Linked DNA regions of Saccharomyces cerevisiae S288C. Changing the gene in region 1 together with any one later gene gives a genetic interaction. Each region holds a gene or a part of one and is shown on either strand. Other genes may lie near its edges.

Evidence for each region. A genetic interaction does not mean that the proteins touch.
Region 2: mutations in SSN3 (region 1) and SSN8 together harm fitness less than expected from each alone (positive genetic interaction), as found in Saccharomyces cerevisiae (2 studies listed by BioGRID).
Region 3: of SSN3 (region 1) and SKN7, a mutation in one rescues a mutant of the other (synthetic rescue), as found in Saccharomyces cerevisiae (2 studies listed by BioGRID, with this or other methods).

What each region holds. Positions count from the first base shown.
Region 1 is NC_001148.4:472,202-476,714, reverse strand, and holds SSN3 (cyclin-dependent serine/threonine protein kinase SSN3), read left to right. Parts: upstream 1-2,007; coding exon 2,008-3,675; downstream 3,676-4,513. Other genes in the region: isoleucine--tRNA ligase ISM1, read left to right, coding at 1-722; MRX11 (Mrx11p), read left to right, coding at 974-1,597. UniProt on the Saccharomyces cerevisiae protein: Component of the SRB8-11 complex. The SRB8-11 complex is a regulatory module of the Mediator complex which is itself involved in regulation of basal and activated RNA polymerase II-dependent transcription.
Region 2 is NC_001146.8:583,820-587,067, reverse strand, and holds SSN8 (cyclin-dependent protein serine/threonine kinase regulator SSN8), read left to right. Parts: upstream 1-1,776; coding exon 1,777-2,748; downstream 2,749-3,248. Other genes in the region: KSH1 (Ksh1p), read left to right, coding at 248-466. UniProt on the Saccharomyces cerevisiae protein: Component of the SRB8-11 complex. The SRB8-11 complex is a regulatory module of the Mediator complex which is itself involved in regulation of basal and activated RNA polymerase II-dependent transcription.
Region 3 is NC_001140.6:510,993-515,100, forward strand, and holds SKN7 (kinase-regulated stress-responsive transcription factor SKN7), read left to right. Parts: upstream 1-1,739; coding exon 1,740-3,608; downstream 3,609-4,108. Other genes in the region: serine/threonine protein kinase SCH9, read left to right, coding at 1-845; SET5 (S-adenosylmethionine-dependent methyltransferase), read right to left, coding at 3,913-4,108. UniProt on the Saccharomyces cerevisiae protein: Transcription factor that is part of a SLN1-YPD1-SKN7 two-component regulatory system, which controls gene expression in response to changes in the osmolarity of the extracellular environment.

The sequences.
Region 1 (4,513 bases):
ATAAGATAAACGAACTGCTGGAAACGACGAGAGAACACTACCAAAAGTACAACTTTTCCAAGGTTCTCATTACTCTACAATATCATTTAAATAACGAGCTATCGGCGTTTTATTTTGATATCTCAAAGGATATTTTATATTCCAACCAAATATCGTCATTGGCAAGAAGGCAGGTCCAAACAACGCTTGTCCATATACTAAATGCATATAGGGCAATTCTTGCACCAATATTACCCGTTATGGTCCAAGAAGTATGGAAGTATATACCAGAAGGATGGTTACAAGGACAAGAACATATAGACATTAATCCGATGCGTGGAAAATGGCCGTTTTTGGACTCAAATACGGAAATCGTCACCTCCTTTGAAAACTTTGAACTAAAAATTCTAAAACAGTTCCAGGAGGAATTCAAGAGGTTAAGTCTAGAAGAAGGTGTCACCAAAACAACACATAGTCACGTTACCATTTTCACCAAGCATCACCTCCCATTCAGTTCTGACGAGCTTTGCGACATATTGCAATCATCTGCTGTTGATATATTGCAAATGGACGATAATAATAACAGTCTACCAACTATTGAATTGGGAAGCGGAATAAACGTTCAAATATTGGTTGAACGAAGCAAAAGGCACAACTGTCCCAGATGTTGGAAGGCCAACTCAGCCGAAGAGGATAAATTGTGTGACAGATGTAAAGAAGCTGTGGATCATCTCATGTCTTGAATGACATGTACCTTTCCTGTATATAAAGAATGCCAATTATTGGCTCTTAGAAAATAAAAACCCTCTTGTACTTATTAGTGGGTACCTAACAGGTCCCCTACTGACATTTTGATGCAGGGCCTCGGCCTATTGTTCTTACCAGCTCTCAGCGCGTTATACGAACAGGAAGCAAAGAAGAGAAATGTAAAAATATTGCTTTTGAGAGACCGTGTAAGGATAAGTGTTACACCCAAGGCACCCTCACCAGGAACATGACTGTCATGAATCTTTTCTTCAGGCCCTGTCAACTGCAGATGGGCTCTGGACCGTTGGAGCTCATGCTTAAAAGGCCAACGCAATTGACCACGTTTATGAACACCAGGCCCGGCGGATCAACCCAAATTAGATTCATATCGGGAAATTTAGATCCAGTGAAAAGAAGGGAGGATAGACTACGTAAAATATTTTCCAAGTCACGACTTTTAACAAGGTTAAACAAGAATCCTAAATTTTCACACTATTTCGACCGCCTCAGTGAGGCCGGCACGGTTCCAACACTTACATCATTCTTCATCTTGCATGAGGTAACTGCCATACTACCACTGTTTCTACTATGGTGGTTACTTTATAACCTCGATCTTTCTGATGATTTTAAGCTCCCAAACTTCTTAAATGGCCTAATGGATAGCTGTCATACAGCTATGGAGAAATTTGTTGGTAAGAGATATCAGGAATGCCTCAACAAAAACAAGTTGATTTTATCTGGCACAGTAGCCTACGTTACAGTAAAATTACTATATCCGGTACGCATTTTCATTAGTATCTGGGGAGCACCATATTTTGGGAAATGGTTGCTTCTTCCCTTTCAAAAATTAAAGCACCTTATTAAGAAATAAAGCTTTTTTTTCCTTTTTTTTTTCTGGCCCAGAGACGGATTATTGTTTTCAGTTGAAGTTGCGCACTCGGCATATGATTTATAGATTCCCAATATATTGTACTTCGTTATATATGTGTTACGAATATTTTTGATTTCGTTTTAGAGAGTTTTGATTAGAGGAAATTATAGCTTTTTTTAACAGTGAAATAAATATCATACATCAAAAGTCTTCAAGAATTACGTGGTGTGGCTTAAGTTGCGTTTCATTTTCCCGCTTCAATACTTGAAAGTTATCCCACAATCACTGCTGACAAAAAGGATACAAGAAAGGTTTATAGGAAAGAAAAAAGGCGGAAGGGTATACTGAAGTTAGTAATTTTGCTTCCCAATTGAATTAAGGCCGCCTAGTTTTGACGGGAGGAGAGAGAAATGTATAATGGCAAGGATAGAGCACAAAACTCCTATCAGCCAATGTACCAAAGGCCTATGCAGGTACAAGGACAACAGCAAGCTCAATCGTTCGTTGGAAAGAAAAACACAATCGGAAGTGTGCATGGAAAAGCCCCGATGCTAATGGCCAATAATGATGTTTTTACTATTGGACCTTATAGGGCAAGAAAAGATAGAATGCGGGTATCTGTCTTAGAAAAGTACGAAGTTATTGGCTACATTGCTGCGGGCACATATGGTAAAGTTTACAAAGCGAAAAGACAAATCAACTCCGGTACCAATTCCGCTAATGGTTCTAGTCTGAATGGTACCAATGCGAAAATTCCGCAGTTTGACAGCACGCAACCAAAATCAAGCTCTTCAATGGACATGCAGGCAAATACAAACGCATTAAGAAGAAACTTGTTAAAGGATGAAGGAGTGACCCCCGGAAGAATACGAACTACGAGGGAAGATGTATCCCCGCACTATAATTCCCAAAAACAAACCCTCATTAAAAAACCGCTGACGGTATTTTATGCCATTAAAAAGTTCAAGACAGAGAAGGATGGCGTCGAACAATTGCATTATACGGGAATATCTCAGAGTGCCTGTAGAGAAATGGCATTATGTCGAGAATTGCACAACAAGCATTTAACCACATTAGTGGAAATTTTTTTGGAAAGGAAATGTGTCCATATGGTATACGAATATGCGGAGCATGATCTGCTACAAATTATCCACTTCCATTCCCATCCCGAAAAAAGGATGATACCACCAAGAATGGTTCGGTCTATTATGTGGCAGCTTTTAGACGGCGTATCGTATCTTCATCAAAATTGGGTGCTTCATCGAGATTTGAAACCCGCAAATATAATGGTGACCATAGATGGATGTGTTAAAATTGGTGATTTAGGTTTGGCCAGAAAATTTCATAATATGCTGCAAACCCTCTATACTGGGGATAAAGTGGTTGTCACTATATGGTACCGTGCACCTGAGTTGCTATTGGGAGCACGGCACTATACCCCTGCGGTTGATTTATGGTCCGTTGGCTGCATTTTTGCAGAACTGATAGGATTACAGCCCATATTTAAAGGTGAAGAAGCTAAACTAGACTCTAAAAAGACTGTTCCATTTCAAGTGAATCAACTACAGAGAATTTTGGAAGTTCTTGGCACTCCCGATCAAAAAATTTGGCCTTATTTGGAGAAGTATCCAGAATATGATCAAATTACGAAGTTTCCAAAGTATAGGGATAACCTTGCTACATGGTATCATTCCGCGGGAGGAAGGGACAAGCATGCTTTAAGCTTACTTTACCACTTGTTAAATTATGATCCAATTAAAAGAATAGATGCATTTAATGCGTTGGAACATAAGTACTTCACAGAAAGTGATATTCCTGTTAGTGAAAATGTATTTGAAGGTCTAACTTACAAATACCCGGCAAGAAGAATTCACACGAACGATAATGACATCATGAATCTTGGATCAAGAACGAAAAACAATACACAAGCTTCAGGAATCACCGCAGGTGCCGCTGCAAATGCGTTAGGTGGGCTTGGTGTTAACCGTAGAATTCTGGCCGCGGCAGCAGCAGCCGCTGCTGCGGTGTCAGGAAACAATGCATCAGATGAGCCATCTCGAAAGAAAAACAGAAGATAGGCTTCTATTTTTATATATATTTGGAATTTTTCATTCCACAGCACTGTCACTATTATATTCATTAAACTTTTTTTTATCTTTATAGTATTTAAATCGGCATACAGTTTCAATTTTTCGCTTTAGAGGCACTAAGAATGCAAGTCTGCAACATTCAGGTAAAATAATGGGTTGATTTTAGGTCGAGCTAAAACCCTGTTCTCCGCAGATGTATGCGAATTTCGTCATAATTCATCTCAACTAATGGGGCTTTAAAACATATGAATATCTCATGCATTCCCAAAAAAGAAGAAAGAAAAGACTTCAAGTACCCCCCTTAATTTTTATATAATGGTAGTAGTAGGTTTGTTCGTAACTTATCGGCAATAGTAATATGTTCCCATTATAACACATCTGTTAATGGTATTCAGGTTAATAACCATAGCAAAAAATATAAACAACTTTGTACATTTTCCATAAAAAAGAATGACTTTACGAAAACATTGGATGAAACAACCAGTTCATCCCGTTCAAAGTCTAAACTACGTATAAAGTAGAGTTATCATCGGTTAACAAAGTACATTGTGTAGTATGTAGAAGGGCTGAAACCATCAAGAAAAGGAGGGACACGCTCATACAAAGGAGAAGTCATGAATTCTAAATGTATCTAATAAGATACGTGAATTCAGCATCACCTAGTTATTAATGACCAGCCGAACCTAAAAGTCATTGCACAAACAATGTAGAAACATAGCTAATTTTACATACTTTTATTTGCGGTCTACTTATAACCATTATGTATATCATGGGAAATAAATAATTCTCGTCTTGCCTATTACTTCAAACGGAACGTCTAGGAGCG
Region 2 (3,248 bases), on another chromosome or scaffold:
ATTATATTTAGTAATGAACTTTTCGATAGACATTTGTAATTCATGAAAAAACGATATAACATTCATTTTTGTAGTGTGGTGTACGCATGGTGGGACTGCTCTTCTTGAGCGAAATTTTGATCTTCAATAGAGTGAGCAACGACAACTCAAGGATAAAGACAGAACAGCGGTAAACATCGTTTGCAAAATAACTAGAGAGCCGGATCGATTTACTTTGCAAAGTTGCGTCCTTTTTCCACGACAGAATATGTCTGCATTATTTAATTTTCGTTCTCTTCTGCAAGTGATATTGTTACTGATTTGTTCATGTTCTTATGTTCATGGGCAGTGGCCGTCTCTCCTAGATCGTTACAAAAATCATGAGGTTTTGGGGGCCTTCTGGAAAATGGCACGTGTTGGTGAAAGGGCCAGTCCATATGTTAGTTTAGCATGTATTTTGATGGCCATCAGTCAATTTAACAGCTGATTGGAAGATACTTAGTCATATGGATTTAAAGTTACGCAAATCAAGGTCATAGAAGGTGCAGTACCTTTTAAAACAAAGAGTATAAGTGGATTCAGACGAAGTGTCTCTTTAATTCTATCGTCTGATAGCGTACAAGTAAGGGTGCTATGAGCTAGCACGCACAGCAAAAATATAAACACTTTTGTATTTTTTTTTATTTTATAGTGTTTTGTGTTGAGTATTCATCTATTCGACCTCTATAGAGATTTAAGAAGGGAATTCATTGTCACAATAAGGACGCATAGTTGTTCATTTTAGACATCATTTACAGCACTTCCGTAAACTACCCCATATTGCGATTGAATACTACCGAAAAGGCTCAAGAATTTACGTGGTGCCCAATCAATTATATAGAATGAGGAACAATGGTAAGTAATGAATAATCATGGTCAGTAATAAAAAAGCAATCTCGTCCATGTTTCTTTTTGAAACTCAGAGCTTGACTCTGTTGCATTGGTATTTCATCATTTGATGAATTATTCACTATTCCATCTTCTTCTTACACAAGTTTACCAATAAATAACTCATCTGAGTTATTCAGACTTTTTATTAGATCAGTTCGGCATATTTAACTATGCAAAAGTTTTACACTGCTAAAAAGTAGTGTAAACAACAAACTGTTAAAAAAATAAAAAGGGGTGAATCCATGGACCAAGAATAGTAAGCTCCATTGGGTTACTCGATCCAGCACGGGAAAGAGCAATCGTCATAACTATGGTTTAGATTCCATACAAACGGAATCCAGTACCGAAGAAAACACCAGTACCCTGCAATAGAGGTACCAGGTCAAGAAGCAGAATACCCAAGGGCATCCTCCTTAATGAGTTGATTTAAACAATTTAAAATTTTTAAATCTCATTACGTTTTCCGCATACGAATTGGTGGGAGACTTTCAACCCAAAGCATATTACTGAGTAAAAAAAATTTTACTCCATTTTGTAAGCTTCGATTTGTGACGATTCTTTGGTCATGGATTGAAGAACTTTAAACGAGAAGAAATTAGAAAACAGGTGAAGACCACTATTTAGTTCTTTACCGCAACATAGGATAAACAAAGTTATTTTCTTACTCCTTTATATATTTGAAAAAATATAAAATCCACGGAAAAACATCGAAAATTCATTTTTCATGAAGGAAAATTAGGGTTCATACAGGAGTAGAGTTCATTGATGTGGTAGCAACCTTGTTAGCACTCATATTGTTCGAACAAAAAATGCCCTCTCAAACTTTAGTTGAAGAGCGATAAGGCATCTGAATCTCAAAAGTTAGACATGTCGGGGAGCTTCTGGACATCTACACAAAGGCATCATTGGCAATATACCAAGGCATCATTGGCTAAAGAGAGGCAGAAGTTATGGCTATTGGAGTGCCAGCTGTTTCCTCAAGGTTTGAATATTGTAATGGATTCGAAGCAAAACGGCATCGAACAATCCATCACAAAGAATATACCAATAACTCACCGAGACTTACACTATGATAAAGATTATAATCTAAGGATCTACTGCTATTTCCTGATAATGAAGCTTGGAAGGAGACTAAATATAAGACAGTATGCACTGGCTACAGCACATATTTATCTATCAAGGTTTTTAATAAAGGCTTCAGTTAGAGAAATAAACCTATATATGCTGGTTACTACGTGTGTATATTTAGCATGCAAAGTTGAAGAATGCCCGCAATATATCAGAACTTTGGTAAGTGAAGCCCGTACCTTATGGCCCGAATTTATTCCTCCTGACCCTACTAAAGTTACTGAGTTTGAGTTCTACTTACTAGAAGAATTGGAAAGTTACTTAATTGTCCACCACCCTTATCAATCCTTAAAGCAAATTGTTCAAGTCTTAAAGCAACCGCCATTTCAAATAACACTATCGTCAGATGATCTACAAAACTGTTGGTCCTTAATCAACGACAGTTATATAAATGATGTTCATTTGCTTTACCCTCCTCATATTATCGCTGTTGCATGTTTATTCATTACGATTTCCATTCATGGGAAACCAACCAAAGGATCATCGTTAGCATCTGCGGCTTCTGAAGCCATCAGAGATCCTAAAAATTCTAGTTCTCCTGTTCAAATAGCTTTTAATCGTTTTATGGCAGAATCTCTTGTAGATCTTGAGGAGGTTATGGATACGATTCAAGAGCAAATTACATTATACGATCATTGGGACAAGTACCACGAACAATGGATAAAGTTTCTGCTACATACTTTGTATCTTAGACCAGCATCTGCAATTTAATCATGCGAAGAATAAATTTAAAAACCGTTAAGCCTGTAAATTCAATCATTATGGTGGTGATGATCCGTTTTGGAAATGTTTCGTCCTTGACTACCTTTGTTTAACATGATATTGGAACGTCAAGACATATTGAGAATAGGTACCGTTATAATGCATAATTAAAAATTGCTTTGATATTGAGGTGGAAAGCTGGGTCGGACCTTGACATGTATTAAATTTAAAGAATCGAACCTAGTGTTTTTTTCTCCAGTGTTCAAAAAATCCTTTCAATTTGGTCTACTGCAGTAGCCCACTTATAACACACATTCAAGATGGGTGAACCGTGGCTCAAACTTCCCCATTTTTCAGAGTATGTGCAACCACAAAACCTTTGTCAGAAATTCTTATGGCAGGCCAAATTGATAAACTAACAGAAATATTAAACGCCCCCCAAGTTAAAATACTAGAACATGTTGGCTTATTTCAAAAACATTTTCTTCCTTTTCTAAAGTGTTTGATAA
Region 3 (4,108 bases), on another chromosome or scaffold:
TTCTACTCGATGCCAACGGTAACATCGCTCTTTGCGATTTTGGTCTTTCTAAAGCTGACTTGAAGGATAGAACAAACACATTTTGCGGCACCACGGAATACCTGGCACCAGAATTGTTACTGGACGAAACCGGCTACACCAAAATGGTCGATTTCTGGTCTCTAGGTGTTTTGATATTTGAAATGTGTTGTGGTTGGTCCCCTTTCTTTGCGGAAAATAATCAAAAAATGTACCAAAAAATTGCCTTTGGTAAAGTCAAATTCCCCAGAGACGTACTGTCACAAGAGGGGAGGTCTTTTGTAAAGGGTTTACTAAACAGAAACCCCAAACATAGACTCGGTGCCATTGATGATGGAAGAGAACTACGAGCTCATCCATTTTTCGCAGATATCGACTGGGAGGCCTTGAAGCAGAAAAAAATTCCACCACCTTTCAAACCTCACCTAGTCTCGGAGACGGATACCTCGAATTTTGACCCAGAGTTCACAACAGCTTCAACTTCATACATGAACAAGCACCAGCCGATGATGACTGCTACCCCGCTATCTCCAGCCATGCAAGCAAAGTTTGCTGGTTTCACCTTTGTTGATGAGTCCGCCATCGATGAACACGTTAATAACAACAGAAAATTCCTACAAAACTCGTACTTTATGGAACCTGGTTCCTTTATCCCGGGAAATCCAAACTTACCTCCAGACGAAGATGTCATCGATGATGACGGGGACGAGGACATCAATGATGGATTCAACCAAGAGAAAAATATGAACAACAGCCATTCGCAGATGGACTTCGACGGCGACCAACACATGGATGACGAATTTGTCAGTGGAAGATTCGAAATATGATTTCTCAATCGCTCCTCTTGCCCTTCCTCTTCTTTTCCTTTTCTTTTTATTTTTTTCTAATTTTTCTATCTTTTATTTCTACTTCTATTATTAATTTGTATCTTCTAATCGTTTTTCCCACTTTATCGAAACATTTCTTCTATTTATATATGTAAAGTATGTATGTATTTTCGTTTTATTTAAACTCCAAAAAATGAATAATTGTTCCTGCAAATTTCTAGTTTATCACGTCTCATAATCACTGCTTATACCTCACCATTCCATTGTACTTTGACATATTTACCCCTCATCTATATATAATCAGGGCTTAAGTAAACGCTTCGCTGTGATTTCCCAAAGTCGGTTCGGAAATTATAGGTCGGTTATATCATCCGAAAAAAAAAAAAAAAAAGTTTTTCTTAAATGCATAGGTTTAAAGTCGATTAAAAGTAGGGCTAACACAAGTATAAGCAGGGTTTTGCTATAATAGGGATGCCATAAGTGAGGGCAGGGCTCATCGATGCGCGTACATGGATTTTCCGAAATTCTGAATTTTTTCTTTCTTTAACTATGAGCAAAATGTGGTCAGCTTTACTGAGCTTAACTGTCATCCCATCGAATGTGACAAGATTGAAAGTGCTTCCAGGATCTGAAACATTTGTCAAAGTTTTACTAACATTACACAGATATCCCTGGTCACCTTACTATCTTCCAACATCTTACCTAGGCTTGCTGCTTTTGTTTGGGTCATATATTTAACTCGCTCATTAGAGGACATTCTGTTTTTTCCAAGACCAACAAAAAAGCAACGAAATTGCTGTATTATTAAAGGACTGTTATAGAAGTTTTTTTATCCTCTCTTTGTTTCCATTATTCTTATTCCTATTTTTTCGTTGCTTACTTTTGATATCCACTATGAGCTTTTCCACCATAAATAGCAACGTCAATAAAACCACCGGCGATAGCAATAATAACACCACCGAGAACAGTTCGACTGCAGACCTTTTAGGAATGGACTTGTTGCAGAGCGGGCCTCGACTGATGAACACGATGCAGCCAAACAACTCTTCTGACATGCTGCACATTAACAACAAGACTAATAACGTTCAACAACCAGCTGGAAACACAAATATCAGCAGTGCTAATGCGGGAGCAAAGGCTCCAGCAAATGAGTTCGTAAGAAAACTGTTCAGGATACTGGAAAACAATGAATATCCTGACATTGTAACTTGGACTGAGAACGGCAAAAGTTTCGTCGTTTTGGACACAGGAAAGTTCACTACGCATATATTGCCTAATCACTTCAAACATTCAAATTTTGCATCTTTTGTAAGGCAACTAAACAAGTATGACTTTCACAAGGTTAAGAGAAGTCCCGAGGAAAGACAGAGATGTAAATATGGCGAACAAAGTTGGGAGTTTCAGCATCCAGAATTTAGAGTCCATTACGGAAAAGGTCTCGATAACATCAAAAGGAAAATTCCGGCGCAAAGGAAAGTGCTTTTGGATGAATCTCAAAAGGCTCTTTTGCATTTCAATAGTGAAGGCACTAACCCCAACAATCCTTCTGGGTCTCTTTTGAATGAATCCACCACAGAGCTGTTGTTAAGCAATACCGTAAGTAAAGATGCATTTGGAAATCTAAGAAGGCGAGTAGACAAACTACAAAAGGAGTTGGATATGTCCAAAATGGAGAGTTATGCTACTAAAGTAGAACTACAAAAGTTGAACTCGAAATACAATACGGTTATCGAAAGTTTGATAACATTCAAGACCATAAATGAAAATTTACTCAACAACTTCAACACTCTGTGTTCCACTTTGGCAAATAATGGTATTGAAGTGCCAATATTTGGCGACAATGGAAACCGTAACCCAACTGGTAATACCAACCCAGCAACAACAACAGCTATCCAAAGCAACAACAACACCAACAATGCTTCTCCGGCAACATCTACAGTTTCCTTACAACTACCTAATTTACCCGATCAGAATAGCCTAACACCAAATGCTCAAAATAACACAGTCACGCTACGAAAAGGTTTCCATGTACTGTTGGTGGAAGATGACGCAGTGTCTATACAGTTGTGTTCAAAATTTTTACGGAAATATGGCTGTACTGTCCAAGTTGTCAGCGACGGTCTTTCAGCTATCTCAACACTAGAGAAGTATAGGTATGATTTGGTTTTAATGGACATTGTTATGCCAAACCTAGATGGTGCCACAGCGACATCCATTGTCAGAAGTTTTGATAATGAGACTCCCATCATTGCCATGACAGGTAACATTATGAATCAAGACTTGATCACATACTTACAACATGGAATGAATGATATCTTGGCCAAACCATTCACGAGGGATGATTTACACTCAATTTTAATACGTTATCTAAAGGACCGTATTCCTTTATGCGAACAGCAATTACCACCTCGCAACTCTTCGCCACAAACTCATTCCAACACCAATACTGCTAATTCGAATCCTAATACGATTAATGAACAGTCGTTAGCCATGTTACCACAAGATAATCCGTCAACTACTACCCCTGTTACCCCAGGTGCCTCTATATCTTCTGCACAGCATGTTCAACAAGGTCAACAAGAACAGCAGCATCAAATTTTCCATGCTCAGCAGCAGCAGCAGCATCACAACGCCATTGCTAATGCTAGGTCAGACGTAGCCATACCGAATTTGGAACATGAAATCAACACTGTACCACATTCCTCAATGGGTTCCACTCCGCAATTACCACAATCTACACTTCAAGAAAACCAGCTATCATAAAATTTTACAAATAGCCTTGCGTCTAAGTTAGCAGAGGACATTCTGTATTCCTGAGGAGTTTCTTTATATTTATTATGTGATCTTGGAGGATTATCATTTTCTTTTCGTTCAATATTTTATCCCCTTCAGTTATTTCCAGTTATCTACATCAAAATGTTTGAATTTTATTTCTTTCTGCCGCTCTCAAATTCACTCTCATTTCTTTTTTCTTTGTTTTTCTTATATTTACTATATATATATATATATATATATATATATAGCCAAAAACAATAACAGACACAGTAATTTAGTATGCGTTTATCTCTTATCTTTCATCCACTGCGACCGAAACGTTTGAATCGAATCTGACTGAGGTTTTTCTTACATTCCCTTGTGTATCAACAGTTTCTGGTATGTCTAATTCAAATTCTTTTCCATTCTTCAGTATTTCTTTTAAATCTGGCTGGGCCTCTCTCATGGAAGATTTACGATTACCAGTTGATTTCTTAGAGCCATCTTCA